Oryzias latipes: one gene and its partners. Each later gene encodes a partner of the first gene's protein in a complex. Links are inferred from orthologs where the notes say so. Each region holds a gene or a part of one and is shown in the gene's direction. Other genes may lie near its edges. The genes, in order: trappc9, trappc12, trappc11 and trappc8.

Region 1 (7,345 bases):
ATCTAAAAAAACGAAAAAACTTGAATAACATTCTAAAATAATAGTGGAGGGGCAGAAATTGATCCTCATTTGATCATTCAGTGACAGGACTGTTGCCTAGTTTCATGTTTAGTCTAGGGTTATATATAAAACTCTTCAGTGTAATCTGCTGCTCACTTTCTAGACTATCAATTAAGACTTTTAAAACACAATTAAGACAATAATCTGGTCTAAACTGGATTAAAACAATTGATTTCATTTATTCTGCCTGTATCGAGATCATTTAAGTTAGTGGTCTCCAACCTTTTTCAGGCCGTGGACCAGTTTGATGTTAGAACATATTAAGAAACATGAATCCACGGCTTCAACAACTTTATGCAGATTTTTATTTTATTTTGGAGTCTTGTGTTTTCTCATCAGATCTTTTCTGCTAAAAGAAATGTTCTAAATATGTTTGTTTTTTGTCAGCATTGCTATCTTGGGAGTTTCAGTTTAGTGGTCGGTGCAGACGTTTTAACAAAGTTGGAGATAGAATTTCAACACATGACCGAGCGACTTGACATACGTCATGAGGTCAAGAATGAGTCGCTTGTGGTGAAGAGAATCCAGTAGTTCTTCAAAATACAGCTACCTTTAGAATCAGATTATAAATAAAACAGAAAAGTTGTAGGTTGGGTTTTTTCTCTGCATCCTGGTACCTACTCCTCCACAGACCGACACCCGTCCGTGGTTGGGGACCACTGCTATAGACAGCTTCTTTTGTAAATTCATGTTTTATATGGAAATTAAAATGAATTTGTTTTTACATTCAGGTTTCGTACTGTCATGAAAAAACCTGGAAGAATTTATGAAAATGAAAATGCAATTTCTAGGTCCTTGAAAAGTTTGTGTAAACTGACATAGTTTTGGTAAAGGCATGAAAGTTGAATATTTTGGATGCAAAAATACATTAAAATATTAGAATTTAAGGGGATTGGAATTGAAATTGTGGCAGAAGTTCAACCTTACACTTACGATGGCAGTTTTTGTCGCCATAAAGCAGGTCGAGTTGTCATCAGTTCAGAGTGCACAACGCTTTCAGCCTGCTATCGGACATGGATCGTGAAATGCTAGATGATGTCAGGGAAATGTTGCTTTAACAATGAGAACTGTGGCTACTGAAAGACCCTGATCAGAAGCGTGCAAAAGCAAAGAACTACAAGCAGGCTTTATTTATGATGATTCAGTCCTAACAACAATAATATCAGGCACAAAGCAGCAAAGTCTGTGGGTGACCTGCTGGATGGACGTTGTTTGTGTGGTCGACTTTGTCAACTTCGAAAACATTTTTTTCTGATATTTGCTATCATTTTTTAATGAGCTAGAACAGTTTTAGGCCTAAAGCGATAGGGATGCGTCTAATACCTGCATTACTTGAATGTGATGTGTTTGAGGTTATTTATGGTGAGTTACTGAGAAACTGCTATTGTTTGTCTGGGGTGTTTTCATGTATTTTATTGACGATCTCCGCCTGCCTCTGCAGCTTCACATCTAGGCAAACTCCGGCTGTAATCACAAAAATAAACAGTTCATACTGGTCAATAGAACTGCATCCACCATTTTTCTCTGTAATATTTGTGGATAAAGTCAGAAGGAAGAGCAAAACAGACTGGTGATATTGTGACAAGCACATAAACTAAACTGATCACGTCTATGCTTTTCACTTTTAAATGCAGTTCTTCTTCTAGTTTTCATGAGCAGATGAAGTCAGCTAGTTTGTAGTTCTTCAGAACTTAAGGAGGAAAATACCTCTAAAATTTAAACGAAGGTCACCTGTGTTTTTTATCTATATAGCGGCACCGACTACAATAGTCTCACTAAAATGTGTTTGTTTTTAGTTTTGAAAATTCAGTTAAAGTTAATGGAAAAGGGTCGGAAAAGTTATGGAACACCATGGTTAAAAAAAGTGTATGGACCCTGTGATGAGGTGAACATAAACATCCAAACTCAAGTGTCTTTTTTTGTGGATCCTCCCTCAGTCAATGAACACCTAGACAAGATTTTTTCTGAAGTCATTCCTAAAGTTTTTCCTTGAATTGTTGTTTGTTTCCAAATTTGATTCCTTAGTTGTTCCAAAACATTCAATCATTCCCAAATTAATTTAGCCAAACCTGAACCTTCATTTTTGTCAATGAAGTCCCTGATGTTACTTAACAGGAATCAGTGGTTCAATGCTTTTTTTGTTGTTGCTGCTGAAACAACTTATTTGTTTTTCAGCCCCAAACTGTGGATTTCTGCTTTCCTTCACAACACGTGGAAGGAATTTACATAAATATCTGTTTCCTGTCTCAAAATATTTAAAAAATATGTTTTTTTTTTAAAATCAAGAATAAACCTAAACTGTCTGACCTGAAGAGGAGGAGTCTGTTTTGTACCTGTTTTAAAGCTAAAACAATCCAAATGAAACAAAGGAGGAACGTTGCTGATGCTAGCATCAGCGGATTCCATTGGACAGACCAGATGAGGTGAAAGGCACAGCACCTCTGCTGGGGTGTGGAGTCATAGAGGGGCGTAAAGCTGCCAGATGCAGGTCTGCTGCTGTGAGGGACCATGAACTCTCAAACCTAAAGAAGGTCAAAGTTTTGTGTCATGGAAGTCACTTTATCCTACTCATGTCAGACATCAGCTTTCAGGCTTTTTCTGTTAAGTTTGTGTCTTTTCTCTACCCCCAGCCATTTAATTCAGTTTTGATGCCCAGAAATGATCAGTCAGCAATGTCAAGCTAACAAATATTTCACCGGGCCTTCTCAGGCATTCGCTCCTGTAAAGTCAGCCAAAACACTCACCCTGAAGAGTCCCACATGAAAGGAACAGAAAGTCTTAAAGGAAAACTCCAGCTTTAATGTCTGCAGTGTTGTGGCTGTCTGACTTTCAATTCTTTCAAGTCCACGATGCTTCCTAAAGCTACGCCTTCTCTGAGTGGATAGAAAGGCTGCAGATGCCGACTTAAGCATTTTGTTCTGCACTTTTTTTGTGCTGAAACCGAATCATTGACCTTTTCAAAACGAGCTGTTTCCATTAGGGAAAGCTGAGTTTGTGGGGTTTAATAACGGCGTGCTGCCCCCCGGAGTGAAAGCGGGCAGCGCTTAAATCACAGCTACAGCGCCTCTGAGGCTCAGCTCCTCAGCAGATCCCTCTACAGTGAGGTAGCGTCTGCTGTTCGGGACTGATGTGATCATTACGTCAGCTCCGTCTGCTTGTTGCGCACGGGGAATGCAAATGCTGTTGTTCTCTGGGTTATGATGCAGAAAAAGTCCTTTTGCTCAAAGACTGCCACCCTTCTGAAAGTAGGAGCAGCAGATCTGTCATCAAATTTAATTTTCAGATTCATTCTCAATGATTAAAAAAATCTGATAAAAAGCTGCAAATCAACCATAAAGACTAAACTCCCGGTTGGCTGTTGTGGTTTAAGGTCAGGTTGTTTGATGTCTCCATGTCAGTCTGTTGAAGGCGTTTACAGAGGAGGTTCTGCTGTCTGTCACGCTCAGAGTGAGTTGGAAGAGGTTCCAGTTCCCATGATCCCTCTTTCTTCTGTGAGACTGATTTCCAGTCACCTCTCAGCCGTGCAGTGATTTCCTGCAGTGTAATGCAGACAGAGATTTTATCTGCAGAACACAGAGGGGAGGCGGCTTAAGATGAGGAATCACTCCAAATCTTCTCTGAGATGCAATGAGATCTGAAGAAGGGTTCTTTCTGCAAAGGGACAAACAAACCAGAGCAGGAAACACTCATTTCCAGCATGTTTTTGTTTCCTGGTTCTGGTTCAGTTGGGTTATCTGTTTGACTTCTGCTTCATCCTGTGCTGCACTCAGGGTTTGCTGACTTCTGGAGTGGAGTTCGAGTCTCTGCCTGCAGCTCTCTTCCTGCCCGCCGAGTCCGGCCTGTACCCCGTCACCCTGGTGGGGGTCCCACGCACGGCCGGCAACATCACCGTCAACGGTCAGTCCAGCTGATGAGCCGCTGCACGACTCTTCCACACTGACTCATGCTGAGCAGAACCATTGTGCCGGTCACCTGTTGACATCAGTGGGTCATAAGCAAGCAACACATGATGACCGATCCACATCTGCCACGTGCAATCTGCTCATTTCCAATGCTATAATTGATCAATTACCTATCAGTTTTGTCTTTACAAGATGAGCTTTTTAAAGACCCACTCCGGTCATCTTCTGATCTATTTTCAAATCGATCCCAAAGGTCTTTTAATTATGATTATGCCGTTTTTAGCCAAAATCAAAAAACCCATGTAGTTTTATAGAACGTAGTTTCTGCAGAGCCGGCCTCAGCAGCGAAAACAAACAACATCCAAACTTTTGCAAAGATGCCTTTTAGGCAAGCGTTTAGCCGATCACCGCTAGCTCCAAGGAGAAAGTGGGTGTGTATTTTAGTCTGGGGGCGGGGCTGCCAGCACAGACTCTTCCTGGAAAGGGCTGTTCCTCACTTTGTGATGTCAGTGTGAGAATCTGCTTGTTTTCATGGGTTGGGAGGGGCTGGTGCTCAGAGCGCAGGTTTAGAGGAATTCTCAAAAATATGTGAATGGATCAAGATGCCGCTTTGGGGTGGTTTATCATGAGAAATTAACATTATAGTGCACTTAAAAGCTCAAAAAGTAGATTTTGCATGAAATGAACCCTTTAAATGTTACCCCCCCCTCCCACACACACACTTCATGGATTCATCTGCTTCCTGTCTGCTTGGATTGGCAGGTTACCACACGTCTGTGTTTGGCGTGTCCAGCGACTGCCTGCTGGAGGACTTGGTCGGTGTGAAGGCCAGTGGCTGTTTGGTGGAGGTTATTCCTTCTCTGCCACGCCTGCAGCTCAGCACATCGCTGCCAAGGTTAGACTCCCCCCCCCCCCCCCCTGCAGCTTCACCCTCATCATTTTCACAAACACAGCCCGTCTTTATGCAGCAACACGTCATTCTCTACTCACAGCAGAAATGATGTATGGTTCAAAGATGCGAACGTGAAGAAAACTGAAAATCCGTCCCATAATGTTTTCAGTGAAGCACGAAAGTGTCATTTTCAGTTTAAAGACCCTTTTACAGTTTTCATAAGCAACTACTTGAACAATACTTTTGTTTTTTTTGAATGTTGGTTTTAAATTCTGCCGAATGATGTTCAGGTGACCCACTGCTGCCGAAGTCACATCTGAGTGCAGCAGATCAGCAGCTTTTGATGTGGAAGAACCTTTTTGTTCTGTGGCCTTGAAGTATTAGAGCAGCAGACAGATGAGGCACATCAATGACAAAAGTAAGACGAGGTCTTCGGGGTGTTTTCACGCCACACACTTCAAAGCTGGAAGCGCTCTGAGGTGGCTCTGTTTCTGTTCAGGCAAACTGCAGCCCTGTGCTGTTCCATTCCCAAAATTAGCCTGGAGCTGTGCTTTCCTAACTCTGTAAGGATCCAATGTGCTCAGTAAACCCTCTGTCTGTGTCTTTAATAAGGGCTTTATACAAATTTATTCTAAACTTTTCACACAAGATACTTTTTTGTCTGTAAAATGGATCTGTAGAGTCAAAAATAGGAAATCTCTGATTTTTTTCTTTCTAACTTTTCTGAATTGGGCAGTTCAGCCAAGTAGTGTGTTATGTTTTCGCCTTGCATGACAAAAGAATGTAGCATGCACTTAGCATACACATTCACCATCCACAAACCAGTCATCATTCTATCACTACATGTTCACATACATTTATCATGTATGTAATGTGCATTTATCATCCCTCCATCATGTATTTCTTATGAATTTGTATGCATTCACCATGCTTTCCATATGCATTCTGTGAAGGTTCACAATTAGTCAATGGACAAAAATAGGTGTATCTTGCAAGATCTTTTAATATGTTTTTTTTTGTAGAGTTTTTCTTTGTAAAGGAAGATAAAAAAGGTACAAAACAGAATAGTTTCAAAAATAAAGTAATTTGGGCCCAACTGAAAACATAACTAAATGAAACAAAACAAGCGGGACTAAACTGAACAGGCCTGACCAGACTTAGCCATTAAACTGACACACTGGGAAAGCTTTATAGACAGGGAAAACCCATACTGGACACATGAGGGAGAGGAAACTAACTAATCAAACATTCAAACTAATTAATCTGATTACAAAACAGGGAAACAGACACCAAACAAAATTCATATAATACAAAAGTAGTCTTCAAGAAAAAGTGGACTAAATCATTTCCTTTAAATAAGCAAAATGAAGTCCATGAGGAGAGTTGGCAACCCCTGCAGTTCCCCAGTGGAATTTCCCAATCTCCTCTGCTGATTACTGTGGATGGCTCACCTGAGATGGAAACTCAGAAAACAAACAACTTTTTCTCACTTAAAACCAATCAAATTGTTAATTCATTTTAAGTAAACAAAGTAAAATTAACGTTTTAATTTAAAGAAAAAATAAAGAAATACTAACACCTATGTGGTGGTTTGAGGTCGAACCACCACACATTCATAATGCATTAATGGCATATTTTGCTTGTATTTATTATTTATCCTCTTTGCATTTATCATGTATTCATTATCATGTACTCATTCATCGCTTGGCAACTTCCCTATCCCGCTGTGTTTTTTTTAGCCACCCCATTCCCGCCCGCAGCAGAATTTAAACTGCCCGCTCCCGTGAGACTTGCGTTGGGTCCCGTGGGACCCGGCAGGACTCAATCCCAATGCACCTCTCTAGTTCAGTCTAATCAACTCACCTGTTCAGCGTCCTACTTAAGTTCCAGGTGTGCGGTTCAATCCTCTTCTTCCATTTCTGCGAGCTCTGCCTTCCTCACCCCACCCTCCTTCCACCTGTGAGCCCCGTTGGGGGTAGTTTAATACCCAAAGTTTTCTATGGAGATCTTTGTTTTATGTATCTGAACGGAGCCTTATGGCTTGGATTTCTGTTTTAGGTCTTTTTTTTCCCCATTTTTTCCGACTAGCCGACAAACACCAGTGTCACCAATTCTGGACCCAGTAGCACCATAATGCTTCCCCCTCCATGTTTGACAGCCTCTGAGCTTGAATATAATTTCTTTTCAATCTTTGGAAAACATAACCTTTCTGCTAAAACTTTGATTAGACATGAACTTTTTGAACCCTCTTTGGATTTTTGTGGTGGATATCAAAGATTAAATTGACTTCTAAAGCTTAAACGTGGATCACATTTTTGTCTTTGTCCATTCTGGATCAGGTCGACTCACAGCTCTCAGGCCACGTCCAAAGAGGAGCTGCCCAGCTCCGTGTCCGTCCAGCTTTTCAATGGGGAGTTGCAGCAGCTCACCATCACCTTGGAGAACATCGGATCCATAGACATCGAGACTCTGGAGCTCACCTCCAAGAACA
Region 2 (7,345 bases), on another chromosome or scaffold:
TCTTCCTGGAAGGGGCGGGTTCTCACTTTGTGATGTCACAATGTGACAATGAACCCGCTCATTTTTGTGGATTGGGAGGGGCTGGTCCTCAGAGAGCAGGTTTTTAGTGGAATACTTAGAAATGAGTGAATGGATCAAAGTACCACTTTGGGGTTGTTTTTCATGAGGAATAAACATTATAAATCACTTAAAAGCTCATAAAAGTTGACTTTGCATGATATAGACCCTTTAAATAATGATGCATTGAAACATTCAGGACGTTTCAGAGAGAACGCAGATATATGAACCTCTTTAACCCATTTCTATGTGAAATGTTTGTATGGAAAATGCCACAGTGGTGCTGTCTGCCTGATAACACCGGCTGGAAAATGGTTTTACCAACAGTTTAGAATGATTTTCTGTGTGTTCCAGCTCTGGTTTGTACGCCTGGCTCTGTTCACCAAGCTGAACCTTTTCCAAAATGCTGAGCTAGAGTTTGAACCCTTTGGCAACCTGGATCAGCCAGACCTGTATTACGAATACTACCCAGCTGTTTACCCCGGGAAGAGAGGTATGTGTAAAAACGTCGAACCTTCCCCCATCTGATGAGTGAAATTATATATGAAGGAATGACTTTCAAATTAGGTTAAAGACAGTGAGATTTCAAAGGTTACGCTCCTCAGTTCTACACTCAGACTTTAACTCTCGTCTCCTTTCATGTTCCATTTGTCTAAAACCTGCTAAATTCAAATGTTTGCTGAAAAAGTGTCATGAAGTAATTGCAGCACTATTGTTCTGCTCTCTAGGAGAATTTAGCCTCATACCCGCATTATTAACACTGCACCACAACTTTCTAATTAAATATTCACAGGAAAGTTTCTGCCAGGAGCTTCACATCAGACTGTATCATTGACAAACTTCAACAACTCTACTTGTCTCCAGCAGTTCTCTGGTTTTGTTTTTCCTCTTTTTACACTGCATGAATCGCTCTCTAATGTATTCCCATTACTTTGGATCTGCTTCACCCTCTGGCTACCACAATGAAGGCAGTATCAGAGATACAGCTGCACACACACACTTGTTCTTAAAAAAGAGCAGCGCTCAAAACGACATCGCACAGCCTTCTGACAAGCGCACCCATTGACTTTCCATTGCTCAATATTAAACCCTTTATGCCCACTGATTCCCCAGAGACAAACTGCTAAGTTGTGTAGTATAGGATCAGAAGTCCAACGTTTGTATTGTCTGATGCATGTGTAGGCTGTTTTTTTATCCCCAACAACCCTCTGTTAACGCGATAAAAGAAGGCTTATACCTGTGTCATCACCAAGAATTGAGAGTAACCCTTGTGCTATCTAAGGCCCTTTACCATTGGGAGTTGGGTCATCTAGACCCACTACTAGACAGTGCTCTGAACCTTTTTTCTCAAATGATTTGTGATCTTCACTGGTGTCCATGGATTACATGAAATCTTTCCACCTTTATCCACCTTTGTCATGGTAGGGAGAACACGTCAATGTAAGGGTGGGGTCATCTAAGATAGCACAAGGGTTAACTCAGCAAAAGCTTGCTCATCCCTCATTGTCTTGCTTTTGAAATAAAAACTGAGTTTAAAATGGACTGTTAAACAATGGCGCAGTAACGTCACTCAGAAATACACTCATTTAGCAGGTAAGCGTATAACAAACGGTAGTTTCAGTAAATCTTAGCAATAGTAATCAACCAACAAATTGCTGTTTCTGTTTACCAATATGCATTTCCAGCAGACTTTCTGCCTCTGCTGTGTTCAATTGTTAGACTGCAGACGCCCCAAAGGTGGCGCTAAATCAGGGACGTGTCGGGTACGGACAAAATGGAAGGAGATTTTCAAACAATGATCAAATTTTGTAAGTCTTAAATAAAACTTCACATTGGTTCCTAAAATGCAACCAGTGGTATAAGGATTCATTTTATTTACTGGCCTCAAATGGATCCAGATCATCTTTAGCCAAACAAACAAGTCAACTAGAATGAATGTCAAATCCATTCACATGTTAGTTTCCTAAAGTTCCCCACTGTTGTTTTTCCACATCCAAAGAATCCAAAGGGAACATTCTTAGAACATTCTAGACACTGGATGGTCACATGACTTTATTCAAAGTCTGTCCACACATTGGACTGGAATGATGGACTGATCCATTTTGTAAAGTAAACGTACCACGTTTCTATCTAAAACGGTATTTTCGGAGATCGATATAATGGATTTATTTCATTTACAACAATCTTTGTAACGGTTTAGGTGGATTCGGTTTAACAACTAGCCTCAAACAGATCGATCTGGTTGGATTGTTGGAATAGAAATCAATTAAGTGATTTCATCGTTACACCCCTGATTGCAGCCTACCAATGCTGCTAGATGATTTTTCTGTGAGGATTCTGTGTTGCTTTAAGTTGAAGCTGTTCTTGTCTTTGTGTAAAAGCTGCTTCAACATTTTAGGATTCTAACCAACGCCCCTTGACAGCTGAATTTATTTCCAGCCATAAAAAAAATCACTTATGTTTTTGCTTTCAAGTTGATGCTAAATTAAGGTTCCTTGTTTTTTGCAGAGTTTGGCCAGAGGCACAATTTATTTGTGATTTTAAAATAATAGTTAGGCTCATATAGTCATTATTTTCCCACTAATAACCGCTAGAGGGCAATGTAGATGTGCTTAGCAGAATATGCGACTGATAGAAGAAGAAGAAGAAGAATTGCCGCTGATACGCCTGATGCAAAACAAACATGGAGGACGCATGAATCGGCGTAAATCTGCTGGGCGTGTGTGACGTTCAGACGCGTCCCACTTTTCTCCCAAAAGGAAGATTATAGTCCGGAGGGACTTATCGTCCGTAAATACTATGATTTTGGAGCCCAAGTGCTTTAATGCATAATCGTATGGATAGGCTGAATGAATTAATGAATTGTGGAAACAAACTTTCTCAAATGTTTTTGACAAGTAAAAATGAACAGAATAATGTGCTAGCCCATTCACCAGTCAGCATGAACGACTCGAGGGTCTGAAACCCAGATGCTGTCACAAATGCAGGGGGGGGGGGGGGGGGGGGTTGTAGAGGAATGAGAGAGATTGCAGGCAGATTGGAATCTCAACCACAGCTGAAACTGTGATAAAAACCAAAAGGATGAGCGAGCTGGGTTTTAGATCAGATGACGGGATCAAAAAAGACTGCCATCAAAGCCCGAAGACTCACCTGAACACAGACTTTAGCTGAATGAGTGTGTGTGAAAACAGTGTGAATGATGCGGAGGCAGGCAGAGACAGAGGGATGAGTGATGGAGCGGTGCAGCACAGTAAGAGGGAGAGATGAGAGGCTTTAATAAGCAGCCATACGTAGCTCAATGCCATCTGTAGGTTCCTGCCTGCAGGGCTGTGTACAGTCTGTGTGTGGGTGGATGGGTTTATGCTCTCATCTCTGTCTCTCACTTCCATCCCTCTGTGTTTTCCTCCCTATATCTTCTGTTCTCTTCCTTTACCCCTTCCCTTCTTCATCCACCCATCTTCTTTTTTTGTCCAGGCTCGATGGTTCCGTTCTCCATGCGGCTGCTGCACGCTGAGCTCCCCCAGTACCTGGCCAAGCCCCAGGAGGCTCTGGACCGCCTTCACCACCTAGAAACGATCTGCCTCGCTGTTAGTAAAGCACAGAACATAATACCATGCTCAATCCTTTAGAAAGCGTATGGAGCTGCAGTTGTAGTACAGTAGTGGCAGAGAAGCAGTTGTCGATTCTTCTTCTTCCCCTTCAGATTTTAGATAACCTGGAAAAGGGCTTGGCTGAAGACGGCAGCATGGTCACCTTAACACAGGAAAACAGGCAAGGTAAGCACTCAGACACACCTGCTGCAGGACTGCAGCACATCCCAGCCTCACTCCAATGTGATGCTCTTAGTGTTTAGCACCTCGCTGCCCTGGAACTCGCACTGAATATCAAATGGATTTAGCAGCTCTGCACACCAGTCAGATCAATAGAAATCAATCCCACCAATCCAGCGATGTCTGCAAAAGTGCGTTAGGGAGATGAGCAGGTGTACACTCGCCACTCCCACAATCCCTTTCCTCTTTCTTTCTTTGCATCCACACATCATATAGCTCCTAGCATGTTTGCAACATGCATTTATCAGCTTAATAACTTGTTTCACTGGAACTAAATATAGACGTGTTTACACTGAGAGAATTAGCGAGGTAGCACATCTAGGAGTGCGTGTGCCTGAGGGGCTTTAAATGGAGCTCATTTGTCCCCATGCAGCATCACTGTAACGGCTGTGTCCTTTGTCTCTCCTGGCTCTGCCCACACAGTTGACAGTCAAGTCAATAACACGGGGCCATGCTATCACGCTTCAGAGCCCCACTGAGTGACTAGCCGCTCTCCCCAGCTCCCCTGCATCTGCAGCGGGGAATAGTAACAGGCCATTCAGATTCTGGATGCTGCAGTTCTGCTGCTTTTCATTAAAATAAAGCCGGTGCACAGCAGGCTTTAATGAGTGGGACGTGAAAGAAGTATGGGGGGGGGGGGCAAGAAACAAACACTTGGAATAAAAATAGAAAGTCGTGGCACCCCCTTATTTGGTCTCTTTTTTTTTATCTTCGTCTTGCTAGCGTCTCTAAAGCTGTGGAGGTCTCGTCTCAGCCGGGTCATGTACTCCATGGCCAACTGCCTGCTGCTGATGAAGGTAGGAGTGTGTGTTTGTCAGCTCTGTGTGACGGTGTGCTGGTGTGCACGTCGCCTTTGTGTGTGCGTGAGACAGAGTCTCCGAGATTTCTGATGCCAGGCAGTTGGAGGATTCACAGTGAAATCCCCACAGACTGACCACTAATTGGATTCTTGGTCAGTAAGAGAGAAAGCCGGTGGATGTGGGAGTGGAGGGGAGGTGTGGGCTCAGCTCTGACCCACAGAGAAACATACTGCCACCTGCTGGTGACGGTTGTTATTACACTCAGCTCGGCTTCAGTGACGGAACTTTCATATTTGACGTTGGGAAAGCGGCATCCAATATAAAATGATGTGCAAGTTATTCCAGAGATTAAGTAGCTACATCAACAAATTTGAATGTTCTCTTTGCTTTGAAGTCACCATTCTGCCAAAATCTTTAAAGAAGGGAAGACAACATGTCCGTAATTCACAACATAGCTTCAAGACCAATTTAAATGTTCTCACATTTACCTCCAGATTAAATAACAAACACAGCAGTTCTGTGTTTAGTCCAGAGGGTGAAAAAGTAAACTTTTAGAGATAAATTCTATACATTTTGTTGTAAAAACGCATAGAATTGTGGCATTGAGTCAGATACAGATACTACGCTTAATATGAGAGAAATATCTTTAGTATTCCCTCTACAAAGTCTGAATTTCAAAATAACATAAATACATCCTGTGGTGTTCTATATGATTATATTGTTCAAGATGGAAATACTGTTTTTGACGCAGAATCCCACCACAGCGCTGTGCTGTCATGCGGAGCTCACTGCTGTGATGTGGTAAAAAAGAGCGCTGAGAGGAATGTACGCTTTTCAGACAGTAACTCTGCAGTAATTAGTTACTGTAATGTACCACAAGAAATGTTGTATTTAATGGTGTTAGCCGGACCAAGACGTTCTGCTGTTGGACCCACAAATGGCTGTTGCTACGCAACACAAACAATGAGAACGTCAAACAATACTTAGACGTATCCGCTGCAGCATTCAGGATCACGCCACAGCCATGTTCCCTACTCAGATTGAGAAGTTTTCAAATTATATCATCATAATATGTTGCCAATACAGTAAAATACTAGATATAAATCAAGTTCATTATTACCTATGATGAGAAAAAGAACCAAAAGTTGTTCTTTCAGTTTGAATTAGCTTTAAGCTCGTGACACTCAAACTGTATTTTTTCTGATTCCCAGAGGTCCTTTAATTATGATTTTAAAGTTTTTGGCCAAAATAAAGAAAAAAACTGTCAATGGTTGAGACATTGAACGGCAGTGACTCAGGCGGTAGAGCGGGTCGTCCAATGTTTGAAGGGTTGGCGGTTCGATCCCCGCTCCCCCCAGCCAAGACAGGGCAAGACACTTCCCCCTCCCTGCCTCCAGCGTGGCTCCACTGGTGTGTGAATGTGCATGAATGTGATGGTCAGAGGGGCCGCAGACGGGAACTGGCAGCCCCGCCCCCATCAGTCTGCCCCGGGGCAGCTGTGGTACATCACTAGTCACCATCCCCAAGAATGAATGAATGATGGACACATTGGAAAAACTTTGAGCGTCTGGAAAAGCAGATAAATCTAATCTGTTCTTATTACTTCATATTTTCTGCAGAACAGCCGGAGTTCATTAGAAAGCTAACATTAGCGTAGCTAAAAACGGCGAGCGATAGCGGGGCTATGCAGCCGTACGGCTCTGAGCCAGATGTTCATGGAACTACAGTGTTCGCACAATATTCGCGGTTTGTGGCCCACTGGCTCAGAAGCGGCCTGAAAATATCCTGAAACGCTGAGGAAGATAATCACAGAGAATAATATCATCCAGCTGAATGAATGATGGAGGAAGACGAGCTCTGGCACTAAACTGATGAAGGAGGAAGAAGCAGGACGTGTTCCTGCACCAACAGTGACACTCCTAATGTTCTAAATGGACGCTACCGCACAGTCTATGGATCTAAATAAAAAACGCTTCATGTTGAGCAATCCGATGATTTACAAGCATCAGAAATGTTTCAGAAGGGTTTTGGATGAGGAAGGATCAGTGACGGACATTCTTCGGCCTATGGGTGGGGGGGGCTTCTCCATATTCAGGGGTGGTCCCTAAACCTCGTGAAAACGGAGGGGGGATACTGTGGACAAATACAAAACGTTGGATCAGAGTTGGAGTCTCACAAACCCGAGCTTTTTCAGTGTGGGGTTCATTGTTTGGTCCAAGGACGCCTTAACACATGGACGGGCAGGGCGGGAACCGAACCTGCGATGTTCCGATTAGAGGTTGACCACTCTACCTCTCCACTATGGCCACCGCAGGAGTGAAGACATGCTCAGCTCTGGGGACGTATTATTCCATGAAGTGGGTGGAATGGGAGTTAAAAGCTCTGCTGGATGCTTTTATCTGACTCAAATGTTGGTGTGAAGTCATTTTTAGGTGTCAGTAATGAACATGTTTCCAAATGTTGGTTTATCTGCAGTTTCTTGTGGACACCTGCCTGTGTGAACACCCTCTGCTCACCTTTGGTGCACCTATCATCAGCGCAGGGCTGCTCTGAAGGGAGGGGCTTCTCTGCCAGACCGCCATATGTTTAATGAATGCTCTCTCTCTCTCTCTCCCTGCCTCCACCAGCTCGCCCGCACACTGCCTCCTGACTTGACTG
Region 3 (6,937 bases), on another chromosome or scaffold:
GAGACAAGGACATCAGAGTACGAGCGAGCATTTTCTCATGCAGAATGATCCATAAAGTCAAATCTTTTGCTGGGAAGTACAAACCTTCACTCGCTTACTACGCTCCAGTTCAAAAACCACAGGACCTGGACTGCTCAAACCTGGGTTATATTATGATTTAGATAGTAAAAAACACATTAAACACAGTTTCTGATTTGTGAAACGTTCTGAGCAGCAGGAAAGCCACAAAAGCATAAACCTACCACAATCCCTGGAAAGGTCAAACGTTTGGCTAGAATTACACAGCGACGCTGAATAGACTTGTCCAAAAGTGAAACACAGAAATCTGCGTTTTTATCTGGTGCCGGTAGTTCTGTGTATAACGGTACCGTACTGAGTTTTGGTACTCATCCCTAGAGGGGAGGGAGCTTCATGGACATGTGGCCTTTACTCTCTCTCCAGGTATCGACCCACAGGACGCAGAGAAGGAGAAGGTGGGAATTCTCGCTCTGCAAATCAAGGAGAGAGATGTACCGCATTCTGTAAGTGCCTAATTCAAGTGCACTTATTGCTTTTCCTTGTTTTATTTAGGACAAATAATAAAATAATTGGCCTTTTTGGCCATATTGAAGCCATTATTTTCTGATTATTCTGGGAATATTTTGCCACATTGTTCATTTTCAGTTGCCAGACAGCAAAGGCTACAGATCAATAAAGAATAAATGTAATTTTATGCCGTAAAAGCTGCTTCCCTCTCTGTGTTTCACTGTCAGGAGCTGATTATAGCGCTCCTCGGTAACGCTGTGGCCCAATTCAAGAAGTACAAGTGCCCTCGAATGAAGAGTCACCTGAGTACGTAGAAACACTTTCAGGTTTCCTGTTATTAAAAAAATGTTTTTAACATTTTTTTTGTGCTGTCTGTTGTCGTCACAGTGGTGCAGATGGGAGAGGAATACTATCATGCAAAAGATTACACCAAAGCCTTTAAGTAAGTCCAGCGCAGCTCAAGTTGAACCCGTCATGCCGGAGTCGGGTGAAAGCCGATGAACTGTGTGTGCTGTTACCAGGCTGCTGGACTATGTGATGTGTGATTATCGCACGGAGCGATGGTGCGCTCTGCTGACCGACATCCTGAGCACCGCTCTGCGCTGCGCTTATCTGATGGCCAGCGTGAAGGACTACATCCTCTACTGCATGGAGCTGCTGGGCAGAGGTCAGTCATCCGTTCTCAACACTCCTGCCGTCCGACGCGCACACGACAACAGGAGCGCTTCATTTTGTGAACGTTTGTGTCGCAGCCTCTGATTTGAAGGAGGAGCAAAAGTCGAGGATTGAGAAGAACCTCCTCAAAGTTTTGATGGTGAGCAAAACACATTTACGGCCAAAACAAAGTCTTCATCAGGATCAGGATTCCTCCATGTGTGTTTTAGGGGCAACAGTAGCTCAGGTGATTGAGCGGGTCGTCCAATGACCGAAGGGTTGGCGGTTCGATCCCCGCTCCCACCAGCCAAAATGTCGTTGTGTCCTTGGGCAAGACACTTCACCCTCCTTGCCTTCAGTGTGGCTCCACTGGTGTGTGAATGTACATGAATGTTCCCGGTGATGGTCAGAGGGGCCGTAGGCGCGAAATGGCAGCCACGCCTCTGTCAGTCTGCCCCAGGGCAGCTGTGGCTACAACCATAGCTTACCGTCACCAAGTATGAATGAGGAGTGAATGAATAATGGACACAATGTAAGCGCTTTGAGTGTCATGAAAAGCGCAGATAAATCCAATCCATTATTATTATTATTATTTTTGGTTATGTCGTTTTCAGAACGACGTGCCTGAACCCGAGCCGGACTGTGACCCGTCTTCTGTCGGCGCTGCCAGGTCGCTGTGGACCGACCGCATGGCTCTGGCTGGGTCCAATGAGATGACGATAGAAGTTCAGGACTACATCCCATTCAGTCAGGAAACTCTCCAACCTTAAAGGATAACCTTTTCACGATGATTTAAAAATCCCAAATGTGTTTGTTTTCATTTTTGATGTTCTCCTCCATCAGTCCAATGTAAGGCTAAATTCCAGTCTCCCAGTTTCCATGTGGACCAGCCCATCCAGCTGCAGGTCTTTGTCCGGGCCGACTGTCCTCATCCCGTGTCCTTCAACAAGCTGTCAGTCAGCCTGAGCAACCAGGTAAAGTCCAGACAACAAACCGGGGCGTCCAGGTTTAAACCGATTCGTCCGTTTTAGTTTCATAAACGTAACTTTGCTGTCACAAAAGCTGAATTTTTGATGTTTAATCGCAGATCCTTCGGGTGTTTCTGTTCATTATCGGTTTAACATTTACGGTGCACATTTTGCACAGTGACAGTTGTGCATGAAACTGGATTGAGAAGCACATTTTATTGGTTTAAACACGTCAAAACTAACAGTGACAGGATTGCAGCTGCCTTGTTTCCACTGAATTCTTCCTGTATGATTACATCCTAAAACCAAAAGAGCAGAAAGATATTTTTTATAAACAAAAAAAGAACCCAACAATCATAGAAATACACCCTTCCTTAACCCACAGAATGAAACGACATCCTTCTGAAATATCATATAAAGAAGGGGTGGGAGGATCTTATTATAGGATTTTATTTTTACGTCTGTGCTTTCTAACCAGGGGTACCAGAGCACACTGCAGGGCCAAAAGGATGCCCGTATGATGGCATCTGTCTGAAAAACTGATCATTTTAAGGCTGATTATATAAATGTTAAAAAATTATAGAGTAGATTATAAAGAAATTATAAAGTTTAGCATAGTTTAGATAGTTTGGGGGGTTTTGTTTTTAATTTTGTATTTCTACCACACCAGCAATGCTTTTACACCTTGCTGTTGCAAAAAAAAATTGAAAAAGGAGCTCATCTATGCAGACAGATTGTTTGACCATACAGTTATTGATGAGTTTTAATTGATAAACACATCATCAATGAAGCAGGTGGTCTGCTCCCCTCATTTCAGCACCACGGACAGCAACCCAGGAGCTGCTAAAGCCTGGTTGTGTAGAGAAACGTGGAGAAAGTTTTACACATTCTTATGCATTTGAAGTCATAAAGTCTTGTGTTCTGTTAAGGTAGATTAGGGTTACCTCAAAATGCCAGCTTTTTGGTAAGTAAAATAAGAAGGTTATTAAAAAAAGTGATATTTTTTATTACCTTTACAGACAAACACAGACACGTTACAAATGTCTTGTTGTATATGCTGTAAAGGTGGCAGCTCATGTGTTTATTTGAATTCTTTTTCCTTTAGATTTGAAACAAAGTGTCCTTCTGATGCTGCTCGTTTTAATGTTGTTTAACAGGTTTAAGACGAGTTAAAATCAAATGTGAATACGGCAAACTTTGCTCCAAAAGCTGGTGGTTTTTTTAAGTGATGTTGTTAGATTTTGTTGTTATTTTTTTTTTACTGCATTGGCTCCTAAACTGCAGAAACAAACTTAAGAAGCAAAGAATGAACTTGAACGTTTATCTTCTCTAAATGCTTTTAAAAGAAGTTTTATTGTGGCGCTCAAACAGGATCATCCCCATTTCTGTCAAGAACATCACCATCGCCCCTTCCATTACTCCTTTGTTCCTCACACCTTTATTTAAACAGGAAGTCAAAAGGGTTTAGGTCTTTGATCAAAAGTGAGGGTTTTTTTCCCCTTGAGGAAAACCGGCTGAGATGTCGCGGTTCGATGAGGATGGTGGTTGAACTGTCTGTGATGGAGATTCATCTGTAATAATTAGAAATTTTGAAAGAATCTTTCGTCCGTCAGCTTGATGTCAAAACGATTGTTTTTGTTCTTGCAGGAGTACAACCAGTGGTGTGTGGCTGAATCATCCGGTCAGGAGGACATGACGCTGTTGCCGGGGAAACCCAAACGCTACCGTTTTAGCTTTGTGGCAAAGACGGAGGATGTTGGGAAGAAGATTGAGGTAAGCCGCGGTCTGTGTGCGTGACGGGGAAACTTAGAGCTGGAGAGCGGCGGTTAACCGATGTCGATGATGCAGATAACGGGCATCGAGCTGATGATGGGCAGTGACAACGGCCGCTGCGTGTTCCTGAGCTGGAGGGGGGCAGGGGGAGACGCCGCCTCCGCTCACGAAGCCCTGCAGTCCAGCAGGTCCTCGCGGCGCTGGGCGCGCGGCAACGAGGCGCATCCGGAGCTCGACTGGGACGGCATCACTCTGCAGAACAGCACCATGTAGGCGACTCGTTAGGAACCGGAACAATCCAGCGGCAGGAAGCACTTGGTTTCATCCCTGCACTGCTTTTGTTTCTGTGCAGGATCATCTCCAGAGTCCCAAAGATCTCCGTGGTTCTGAGCCACCAGCCTCCCATCCTCACCAACGAGATGTACTGCATCCGCCTCGCCGTCCAATCACAGGAGGACGCCGTGGCCAGAGATGTGCAGCTGACAACGGGTCTGAAGCCAGGTAAAGACAAACGGCACAAGAATCCCTGATCGTCCGTGGATTCTGTGATCACACAAAACAAACCGGCTTCCAGCAACAGAAGCTTCCAACCTAAACACACCAGTCGCTGTTTCTTGTAGTTCTTTCTTCTTCTCCAGCGGCTCAATGTCGGACAATATTTTCATGGACTGGGTTTATGAGGCTAAAAGGGCTTATCCAATATTATCTTTTTACTTCTCTTTAGCTTCCAGTTTCTCTTAACCTTTCAGGGTGAAGTTTATTTTCGTCCTCTGTTAAATATCTGCAGCTGCTTTCAACTTTATTTGCACTCTAGATTTTGTGTTGGAACTATTTAAATGTGATAAAAATTTACCCTTAACCCATAACTGTCAAAGTGGAAGCTAAAAAAATCGTTAGTCTCACCTGACTTTTAATTTCTAAAAGATAAATTAATTGTTAATTGTTTTATAAAATACCTAAAACAGGTATTTTCCAAATATAATCATAAATGTGAATCCGCCGTATGAACAACTTTATTAGCAGCATCCACGAAACCCCAAACAGCTGGTCCCTGAATATTATACATTATTATCATGGTCTGTAGGAACATTTGTCAGAATAAATCCATATTTAAGAGTAAAGACTCCTGGTTTTTATCTGTTAAATGCAGATTTCTTTTATTTTGAAGTCCAAGGCTCTTCTTCTGTTTCCGCTCTGGCTCTTTTCTGCCAAAAGGAACTTTGTTTTCTGTTAACTCTGCTAGCTTGAGGGTTTCAGTTCAGCGGCAGGAGCAGCTGCTTTAAGAAAGTACCGGATGGTCCCCGTGTACCGATCCGTGGTACCGGTACACGGGAGACATTTCTTTACGGGATGTGGACATTTCAAATCCCCTCATGGTCCTTTCACACCTGCCTTCTCCAGGACAGGACGCTAACCTCAGCCAGACCACCCACGTGACCCTCGACGCCTTCAAGGTTTGTGACGATTCTGCTGCGTCTCTGCTTCCCGATGTGCCTCTGGGGGACCTGCAACCCGGCGGAACGGTACACAAAAGCAGACCAGAACACGCTGCACGGCTGCCAGCGCAGTCCTCCTCACAACCGCTGAGGGTTTTCCTTTCTGTGTCCAGCTGGAGAAATGTATATACTTCAGGTGTGGGTCAACTGGACCCCGGGTCTTCTTGTTCCACGTGGCCTACAGCGTTGAAACAGCAGTGGAAGGACGGCAGATTATCTGCAAATGTCACAAGGTGGAGAACCTGGTCACCTCTTGATTTAGTCCTTCAGTCTTTGACGGATTATTGATCTTCGGTTTTTCTGTTTTCTGTTCAGGATGAGACGGTCACTATAGACACGCTGGTTCCATTTGACGTATCTGTCAAGTTTGTGTCCACAAAGGTGTGTTGCTGATGGTTTTTGCTTTTATAAACACTATGATCACATCCTTTGCTTGTTCTAGAGATGGTTTTTTTTTCCACGCCAGCATTTCAAACATTCTGTTTGGTAGTGAAAAATCAGCAGGAACATGTTGAGGTTGTTGGTCCAAACGGGAGTTTTTCAAATCCCTTTGAATTCTGGGATCTTCTGCAGTTTGAGCCGCTGGACCGGGTTGCAGTGGACATCCCCTTCCTGCTGTTGACGGACGTGGTTTCGTCGTCTCCGTGGCCTCTCCTGCTGGCCTCCTCGTCTCTGCAGCTGCTCACGCTGACCAGCAACACGCCCCAGCTCCAGTCGCAGCTTCAAGAAGGTTCCGCAGTCTCCTCTGCTGTGAAATCTGCCCCAGGCAGCGGCCCTCTGGTTGAACCACCATGTCTGTGCTCAGTTGTTCTGCAGACGGCCGAGTGTGCCACCGAGTGCTTCTGTCTGCGATGTCCGCCGGGGACCAACGACAACAACACGGTGGCCACAGGACAGTACCTCATCTCGTGGAGGAGGTAAGCTCACGCCCACTATCGTGCTTGAACAGGTTGTTTTTAAGGAATCTTCAGAGGTTTTTTCTCTGCCAAACAGGCAGTCTTCCAATCCAGACGGTCCGCTCATCCAAACGACCGTCACTCTACCTCACATCATTCTGGAGTCGGTTCCCGTCTACATTTATGCAGGTTGGTGTTGACCTGGACTCAAAGTAGGGATTTCATCATTGTTTTCCAACATATTTTGCCTTGAGTGTAGTAACGGTGTTGTTGACAAAAAATGCTGTCACGTTTTTCCTCCTGCTTTGGTTTGAGAGCAGACTTGCCGTCGTTCGGGCGAGTCCGAGAGTCTCTTCCAGTCCGTTACCACATCGAGAACAGAACATCTCTGGTGCAGGAGGTGGAGATGGCCGTCGAACCGTCAGACGCCTTCATGTTCTCTGGACTCAAACAGGTACGGCCGGATCCGAACCCATTTTTCAGGGCTGTAAGTCGTTACTTCGACTGCGATTCACATATCAAACCACCATTCTTACTGGTCCACATATTATGTTCAAATGGTTGCTATACGTTTGTCTTTTTACTGTATGTTTGGAAATACAAATATGTATTTACTCGTTTATAT
Region 4 (7,777 bases), on another chromosome or scaffold:
AAAAATGTGAAAAACTAAAGCATTTTTTAAACACAATCCCTTCATTTCATGAGCTCATAAGTAATTGGACAATTGACTTCCATGCTATTGCATGGGCAGGTGAGGGCAATTCCCTTATGTCATTATGAGTGAAGCAGATAAAAGGCCTGGAGTTGATTAGAGGACTCGTGCTGCATTTGGAAGGTTTTGCCGTGAACAGACAACATGCGATGAAAGGAGCTCTCCATGCAGGTGAAAGGAGCCATCATTAAGCTGAGAAAACAGAAAAAAACAATGCTAGAAATGCTACAGTATTATGAGTGGCAACATCAACAGTGTGGTACATCCTGAGAAAGAAAGAAAGCTCTGGTGAACTGAACACAAAAAGACCTGGACGTTCACAGAAGACAACAGTGGTGGATGATGGCAGAATCATTTCCATGGGAGATGCGGAGTTTGAATTGCAGGGCATCACGGGCCAGCTACGGCTACGCCGAGGGGGCTGCCGGTATGAAGATAAAGCTAGACCGGGGAAGTATCGACAGGAGAACCGCGGAAGGCGGAAATGCTGCTACGTAGTCCTGAGAAGCTGTGTACAGTCATCAGGAACGCACAGCCGTCACAAAGCCCTGTCCTCTGCTGCTAACACAAAGCTACAAGCCTGTCCGCACTGTTCCTAGCCTGTCTGTGCCTCTTAGCAGCTGGACACACGGAAAGAGCACTGATGTCATCGCCCCGCCTCCCCGCTGGAAATGCTAAGTAGAATTGAATAATGCAACACTATTCACAGGGTGGATGTGAAAATGAAAAAGCAATGCCCTCTTTGCATTTTCGCTTTAATTACGACATAAATATTAAGCGGTTTTTAAGTAGTTTTAAGTATGAAAAAGCATTTTGGAGGATTGATTTTTCATTTTCATTTTGAGTCATTTGATGCAGTTATACCACGGAGTTTTAGAGCCACCAAAAAAAAAAGTAAAATTACGACATTTTAAGTCGTAGATTTATGAAAAGAAATCTCGTAAATTTACTCCCACAGACTTTGCTGCTTTGTGCCCAATATTGCTGTTGGGGTTTGACTTACAAACAAAATAAAAAAAAAAGTTCATATTTAATGCTTCCCCACTGTTTTTCTCTGTAATGTTAGTGGATAAAGTCAGAAGAAGAACAGACTGGTGATATCATGACAAACACATAAACTAAACGGATCATGTCTGTGACACTTTGTGGTTTTTCTACTTTTATTTGCAGCTCATCTTCTGGTTTTCATGATCAGAATAGAATAGGTCTTTAATTATCCCTAAGGCAATTAAAAAAAGGAAACTTAAATAAAAAGGAAATTTAAAAATGATAAAGTTAGAACCCAGCCTGTTTGAAGTTCTTGTTTTTGTAGTTCTTGAAAAATGTTAGAACCAAAATCTGGGAAAAGATTTGAATGATCACCGGGACTTTTTTAAAGTACACAAAAAAACAAAACAAAAAAAAAAAATGCAGACAGACAGACAGACAGACAGACAGACAGACAGACAGACAGACGCACGCTGACGTTGGTCAATGAACGGAGAGAAGATTCTGATTGGTTCCCGCAGCGTCAGCTGACCGCATCAGCCCTACACCGGAAGAAGAAGAGTGTCATGGCTGTCGTGTGAAGTGTATCCCTCTCGGTGTTTGTGGAGATGGCGCAGTGCGTTCAGTCCGTTCAGGAGTTCCTCCAGGACTCCTTCGTCCCGATGGTCGCCGTCCTGTGCAGCAAAGAGGCGGACAGAGTTTCCCGAAAGAACAAGCTGAGCTTCCCGGAGCTGCTGCGGCCTTTCTGCAGGCTCCTCTCCGAAGGTATGGGTCCGAATCAGGCTTCGTTCGGCCGTGTTCGGATGCAGACCCAGCAGTGCCTGGAGTCTGTCCTGCAGCCAGAACCGAACCAGACGTTTGTCACAGCAACTAGGGTCGCTCAGGACCTTCGGGGACTTACGAAAACAGTTCTGGCTCTTAAGTCTTATCTGATCCAGTCTGGCTCTCTTCTTCTCAATAGTAACAGTTTCTGGTTTGTTTTGAGCCCGGTTCTGATCCAGTTCTGTGTGGACATGTTTACTGTGAAAACTAAGGTGCTTCTGTTCCTTGGTTGTCCGTGAATCTGGTCTTTGACGGCCTCATCCATGTTTTGCTGCCTCCGGCTGCTGTCATCTGGCTGGTTTTCATCTGCTGCTCTTCTCCAGGGCTCTGCAACCTTTACCTCCACAAGAGCCCTTAGGTCCAGTTTCTTACCAACCAAAATCCAACGACACCTACCAAATCCCATTTAACCTTTTAGAAAAAAGAATCTCTCTGTTTTGTGGCCATTAGGCAATTCATTGATGAACTGTAGCTTTTAAATATTTACAACACTTGAATTATAAAAGTCTCCTATTTTTCTACAAATAACAACTTTAAAATTCTCCCTCTGAACATCTTTTAATCTATTTTCCCAGTCTAATTATGGTTATGAATTATGGTTATGCAGTTTTTAGCTAAAATCCAAAAGCCCGTGTCTTTTTCTAGAACATAGTTTCTGCAGAGTGGCAGTCCTCCAGTTCTGATCCAGATTCCAGCTCAGATTCCATCTGTTGGTCTGACAGTGGATCATCAGAATGGAGCAAAGCGGAGAGCTTGAGGCCCAGTTTGTACCGAACAACTACAAATTTTTCTCATCTGCTACTGATTCACAATGATTTGAATAAAATAATTCAGAGAGCTTCAGAGATCGAGTCATTTTACTTCCAGATATGAAAAGAGTTCATGAAAATAACTAATTAAAAAAACGTTCTTTAGTGTGCCAAAGCTAATATATTATAATATGTATGGATATAGTTTACTATAAAAGGCTTAAGAAAAGCAGGATATCGGCCTTTAAATGTTTTACCTTGACAGCAGCATGCATGAGTTCCTTTAAGATTAAAGTTCAGGAACCTCCTACTGCAACAGATTTAGTTAAATTAAAATGAAGGTTAAACACGGAATTTTCTATTATGTCAACATTTAGATGTTATTGTGCTGCATAGATTAGAATATGAGCTTAACTAGCTAATTTCCTACCAATTAAAATGTTACCATTTTTGCTTAAAGCCAAAGATCAACAATGGAGGAATAAGAGAGCCACATGTGGCTCTGGAGGCTCCCTGGTCTACTGTCATCATGTACATGTCATGAATTATTCTTTCCCAAGAACTTTTTACATCTTCATAGCATCTCCTGCGAAACTCAATTTGAGATCACAGGGACCCTGTCAGTCTGAGTTTACAGTTTTCAGTAACCTGTCCACGTTAAACATATTCATCAGACTGAATTTACACCCTCATCTGTGAAAATATTACTTTGCTTCGTTGGCTATAGGGGAGAGAGTTTCACCGTCAGCTTTTCCTATTTTCTGTCTTCTTTAGCCACAAATCTTGTTGTGAGATGCTGTTCTTGATGTTTTTTGCAGGTCACATCAGGGACCCCAACAACCAGCTGCAGACTGTGAAAAACCTACGCATCTGTGTCAATGCGGTGACCACAAACCCAGTTTCCTCCCCTGCTGTTCTCAGCCCGGCCCAGTACCGGCAGCTTGGCGAGGTGGTGTCATCCTGCCAGCCGCTGGAGGGGGCTGCAGCCACTAGCTTTAAAACAGGAGACTACAACCTGAACTTGAGTGGTGAGGATCTGGTTGTGAGGATTTTTCTGCAGATTTAGCAGGATTGGACTGAGTTCTGTTGAGCAAGCTGGTTTCTGGAATTGATGTGGTTGTTAGATGAACCCATGCGTCTGCAGTTCTCTGCAGAGCTGGTTCCATACTGGATTTTAAGGTCCTTCCTTCCTACTGCTTTGACCTTTAACTCCTCTAGGTTTCAGTGTCCCTCTGGAGTCTGCATTACAGAGCAGACTTCAGGGGTTGTGTGAATGTCAGTCGATCAGAACCAGAACCACGCAGAAGCAGTTTTAGTATTTCTGTCTGATCAGTGTTTTCAAATATTAACTGCAGTGTTTTGTTTCAGTTACCACTCCGTGGTTCGAGGCCTACAGGGAGAATTTCCTGCAGTCCATGCCTGCTTCTGAGCACGAGTTCCTGAATCACTACCTAGCCTGTATCCTTGAGAAGGGTTAGCTTCTGAAGAGGTTAGCACCGCTGAGCATACTCACTTCCTTTGGAAATGGATGAAACCATGCCAGGTTTGCTTTTCAAAACGGGGCCAAGCTAAAACTAAAGCCTAAAAGCTATTATCAGAAGGCACTGATACTTGAACTATGGGGTAAACAGTCTGAATATAGATCAAAAGATGATTGGAGAGGGATTTTAGAAATCAGTGGGAAGAAAAGCAGTAAAAGTTGAATTAAAAACAGAGCTGATGCCTGCCGGATGTTCATTGGAACGTCTTTCTGCAGCTTAGGAGTTGCCACAGGAAAAGCTTGGTCCAGAAATGAGAGGCTGCTTTCTCATGTCTGAACGGGTGTTTGGTGGAGTTGGGAAGGATCCTGGCTGTTTTTTGGTTTAAAAAGAAAAGAGTTTAAAATGCACAGGCCGTCAGTGAAGTGAAAATGGGAAGTGACATGATCACTAAACTGCATGCAACAACGGTTTGAACTAGCTGGAGACAAACCACAGAAGGTTTACTGACCCTCCACACACACAGCACTGCAGTAAGTGAAGCCTATGGTCCATGGCATGGGTTAATGGCTGAAGGCGTTGCCCAGAGATGATTGGTTTAAAGGCCTGTTCACACCGGGACGAATTTCGCCGGCGATTTTCGCCGACGTTTAACGCCTCGTGACTAAACAAAGGGCCCCAATGAGAGTGTGCACACCGACGCGAAAAAACGCCACGCGACAAAGCGTCAGAAAAAAAAAACGCCTCGGGTTCGTTTTTTTTTTTCGACGCGTCGCGTCGAAATCTACTCGACCAATGAGAATGGCGCTTTTGCTCACGTGTCTGGAGCTTCTGAAGTTACAGTAAAACACAACTTGGGGGCGCTCAAACACAAAACTGCCTTACTGAGCACACATACCAGCGAAGAAGATAGACGCCAAGTAGCGTCTACACAGCCGCGAAGCAATAATGACGGACATTCTAAAATATCCCCGAACCAAGCACCAGTTGGAGCTACTGGTGCTTGAAATATTCATGTTTTCTTTGTTTGATTCTGACAAGCGCGTAAGTACTTGCTCTCTTCTTCTGAGTGAAAAGCGACTTTAAGAAGCGTAAAGTTGCGCAGCGCCACCTTGTGTACAGGAGTATTTCTGTTTTACATTAAGCGCCATCTAATGTCAGGGAATGAAATTGCATGTTCACTCCACTCATCGTCAGCGAAAATCGCCTGGGTGTGAACACAAAAAACGTGGCGAAAAACGCTGGCGAATAACGCCTGGCGAATATTCGTCCCGGTGTGTACGGGCCTTAACTTTGGCATTTTGTCTTTTGGTTAAAGGCCTGATTTTACAATAGACCTTAATCTGGGAATCCAGCTTAAAGCTGCGTTCACACGGAGCGAGATTTGCACATCGGGGCAAACAGTTTCGATGTTCAGTCAATGTACAGATGCGACCAGAGGGTTTTAAGTGTCAGGCCTGGCGTGTCAATCAGTCAGCAGTGTGTTTCGGGCATTGCAGTTCATTCCGTGCACATCCAAAGTTCAAATATCTAAACTTTGGTGAAGAAGACACGTCGCATCAACCAATCAGAGACTCGGCTTTGAGCCATGACCAGAGAGACAGAAGTACTGCTGAAAGTGTCCGTCATCCAGATGCAGCTCCTGCTGTAGGGTTAGGATTAGCTTCCATGTTAATACAGCATGCGAAGGGAATTTTTTTATGGCAAGATTTAAAATGTCTAAAAACTCCCCTCAATAATCCCAGACAAGGCCACAGGGTCACCAGAGCGGACACAAAAGGTCTTACCTTGGAAATAAGACCCAAATCACTGGAGTGCAATGCCTCCAACCTCCACCCATGTTCTAAACAGGAAACACTGTTACGATCAATTGTGTCAAATGCTGCTGTTGGGTCAAAGCACGAGGATGATGCAGTCATTTAGTAAATTAGAGCAGATACTTGGCCATATTTTCAGAAATTTTGAAGGAAAGATTTTAAAGATGGTGAAATACTAATCGAACCATCTAGTAGCTGGTTCCCTCCGAATTTTAGTAGTCCTTTGATTACTAAAAGCTGTTTGATCAATCCCAGTTTTATCATTCTTTGGAACATTTAAGTATATTATTTTTAAATTATGCTAGCAGACAAGACTGTTCACATCCATCATATAGAGTTTCGTTTGGCAAATAACGTGTGTTTTTTAGGTGACTACTCAGGTGTTAAAGGGTTTAAACATTTGCAGTAAATATCTTCCCGCCATCTGTAGACTAGATCTACATTAAAATAGCCAACAGAAATTAGGGCTGGAGGTAAGGCAACCCTCCCAAATCTCTCTGATCACCTGACTGTGGGTTCATAAATCTCCCAGTCAGAGCAGATGCTGCCCCCTCTGGCCACAGAGCTGGGTAATCCAAAGTTGAGATAAACCTGCTGGCTTCCTCTTGTAGCTATCATCCTCTACCATGCTGTAGATCTGTTCTCCATCTTCTGCAAGCTTCCTTGACCTCAGCCCTCCAGGTCTGCTGGTGGTGTCCTCCACTGAGGCTGTCCCTGTGGAGCAGTTCCTAAAGCTTTCCCAGGAGCAGCACAGAATCCAGCACAGTGGAGAATACACTCACCCCAGATGGTTCATCCCCAACACTCTGAAGTACTACGTCCTGCTGCACGACCTGAGCGAGGGGGATGAACAGAGGTACTGAGGGGGGCTGAAGGCTTTTTCTGTGGGACATATTTTACTGATACAAAGGGGTTATGAATCTTCTGACACACAAGGTGTGTATTTGAATAGACCCCTTAAACTAAATTTTTTTTTTTTATTTTTTTATTTTTTTATTTTTATTTTTTTAACTTGTCCTGTCCAACAGCTAGGCAAACAGATGAGAGCTGAGGGCCTCTTGTGTTGGACATATTTTATTTTAACAAGAGGGGTTATTCATCTTCAGACAAACCAAAGGTATGTCTGAATAAACCCCTTTTGTAATTGAGGCCAAAATTTATTAATTTCAATCATGTTTGAAAATCTTTGGTGTTGGACCGGACGGAAAAGGAAAGAGGGGAAGAAGAGAGAGGGACGTTAGAGAGAGGGGGGGGTAGGAGGGTGATAATAGGAGGGGAAGGGGGGTAAGACCATGAAGCAGCATAGAGCAGACAGGTTTACTGGTTGTTTATCGTTACGGTACGGTTCAAATGTAGTACAAAAAGGGCGGGGCCTGTTCACACACACTCAAATATTATCAACACACCTGCTAGCCGCAAAAATGTCCACATGTCAACATGCACACAAAACAGATAGTGTTCACGAACGCATACCTATGCCTTTAAACCAACTAGTGTGAAATCTTTCATTCATTCAATCATGCAAACTATTAGTGCAAAGGTGAGCTAACACCTGTGCTCAGGTGAGTGTTTATGTTCTTCTAAAATGGATGGTGGAATGTGAAAAGAAGGAGGAGGAGCGCCCAGCTACCCCCACACCCATACCCCCGCCGCAGCAGCAGCGGCGGGGGTATGGGTGTGTATTTAAACTAAATTTTATTTACATTAACTATATTTGAAACGTTTTTTTGTTGGACCGGATGGAAAAGAAGAGGGAAAAAGAAAGGGGGATGTTGGAGAGGGGGCGGGAGTAGGAGGATGATGGGGGGTGGGTAAGTTCATAAAGCAACCATAAAGGGGCGGGGCCTGTCCACACACACTCAAA

Evidence for each region.
Region 2: trappc9 (region 1) and trappc12 share a complex: the UniProt entries of both Homo sapiens proteins name them as parts of the multisubunit TRAPP (transport protein particle) complex. The link is inferred for Oryzias latipes from reciprocal best matches to the Homo sapiens genes TRAPPC9 and TRAPPC12.
Region 3: trappc9 (region 1) and trappc11 share a complex: the UniProt entries of both Homo sapiens proteins name them as parts of the multisubunit TRAPP (transport protein particle) complex. The link is inferred for Oryzias latipes from reciprocal best matches to the Homo sapiens genes TRAPPC9 and TRAPPC11.
Region 4: trappc9 (region 1) and trappc8 share a complex: the UniProt entries of both Homo sapiens proteins name them as parts of the multisubunit TRAPP (transport protein particle) complex. The link is inferred for Oryzias latipes from reciprocal best matches to the Homo sapiens genes TRAPPC9 and TRAPPC8.

Annotation. Positions count from the first base shown.
Region 1 is NC_019869.2:24,205,512-24,212,856, forward strand, and holds part of trappc9 (trafficking protein particle complex subunit 9), read left to right. Parts: intron 1-3,830; coding exon 3,831-3,957; intron 3,958-4,724; coding exon 4,725-4,857; intron 4,858-7,193; coding exon 7,194-7,345. UniProt on the Homo sapiens protein: Functions as an activator of NF-kappa-B through increased phosphorylation of the IKK complex. May function in neuronal cells differentiation. May play a role in vesicular transport from endoplasmic reticulum to Golgi.
Region 2 is NC_019880.2:20,780,823-20,788,167, forward strand, and holds part of trappc12 (trafficking protein particle complex subunit 12), read left to right. Parts: intron 1-411; coding exon 412-550; intron 551-3,531; coding exon 3,532-3,644; intron 3,645-3,760; coding exon 3,761-3,833; intron 3,834-4,610; coding exon 4,611-4,684; intron 4,685-7,345. UniProt on the Homo sapiens protein: Component of the TRAPP complex, which is involved in endoplasmic reticulum to Golgi apparatus trafficking at a very early stage.
Region 3 is NC_019868.2:27,377,713-27,384,649, forward strand, and holds part of trappc11 (trafficking protein particle complex subunit 11), read left to right. Parts: coding exon 1-17; intron 18-441; coding exon 442-521; intron 522-752; coding exon 753-831; intron 832-912; coding exon 913-967; intron 968-1,046; coding exon 1,047-1,192; intron 1,193-1,277; coding exon 1,278-1,339; intron 1,340-1,793; coding exon 1,794-1,926; intron 1,927-2,022; coding exon 2,023-2,153; intron 2,154-3,794; coding exon 3,795-3,920; intron 3,921-3,995; coding exon 3,996-4,189; intron 4,190-4,272; coding exon 4,273-4,421; intron 4,422-5,321; coding exon 5,322-5,443; intron 5,444-5,529; coding exon 5,530-5,649; intron 5,650-5,731; coding exon 5,732-5,797; intron 5,798-5,989; coding exon 5,990-6,146; intron 6,147-6,221; coding exon 6,222-6,333; intron 6,334-6,409; coding exon 6,410-6,501; intron 6,502-6,632; coding exon 6,633-6,766; intron 6,767-6,937. UniProt on the Homo sapiens protein: Involved in endoplasmic reticulum to Golgi apparatus trafficking at a very early stage.
Region 4 is NC_019862.2:1,512,675-1,520,451, forward strand, and holds the start of trappc8 (trafficking protein particle complex subunit 8), read left to right. Parts: upstream 1-1,577; 5' UTR 1,578-1,655; coding exon 1,656-1,812; intron 1,813-3,436; coding exon 3,437-3,646; intron 3,647-3,986; coding exon 3,987-4,076; intron 4,077-6,594; coding exon 6,595-6,769; intron 6,770-7,777. UniProt on the Homo sapiens protein: Plays a role in endoplasmic reticulum to Golgi apparatus trafficking at a very early stage. Maintains together with TBC1D14 the cycling pool of ATG9 required for initiation of autophagy. Involved in collagen secretion.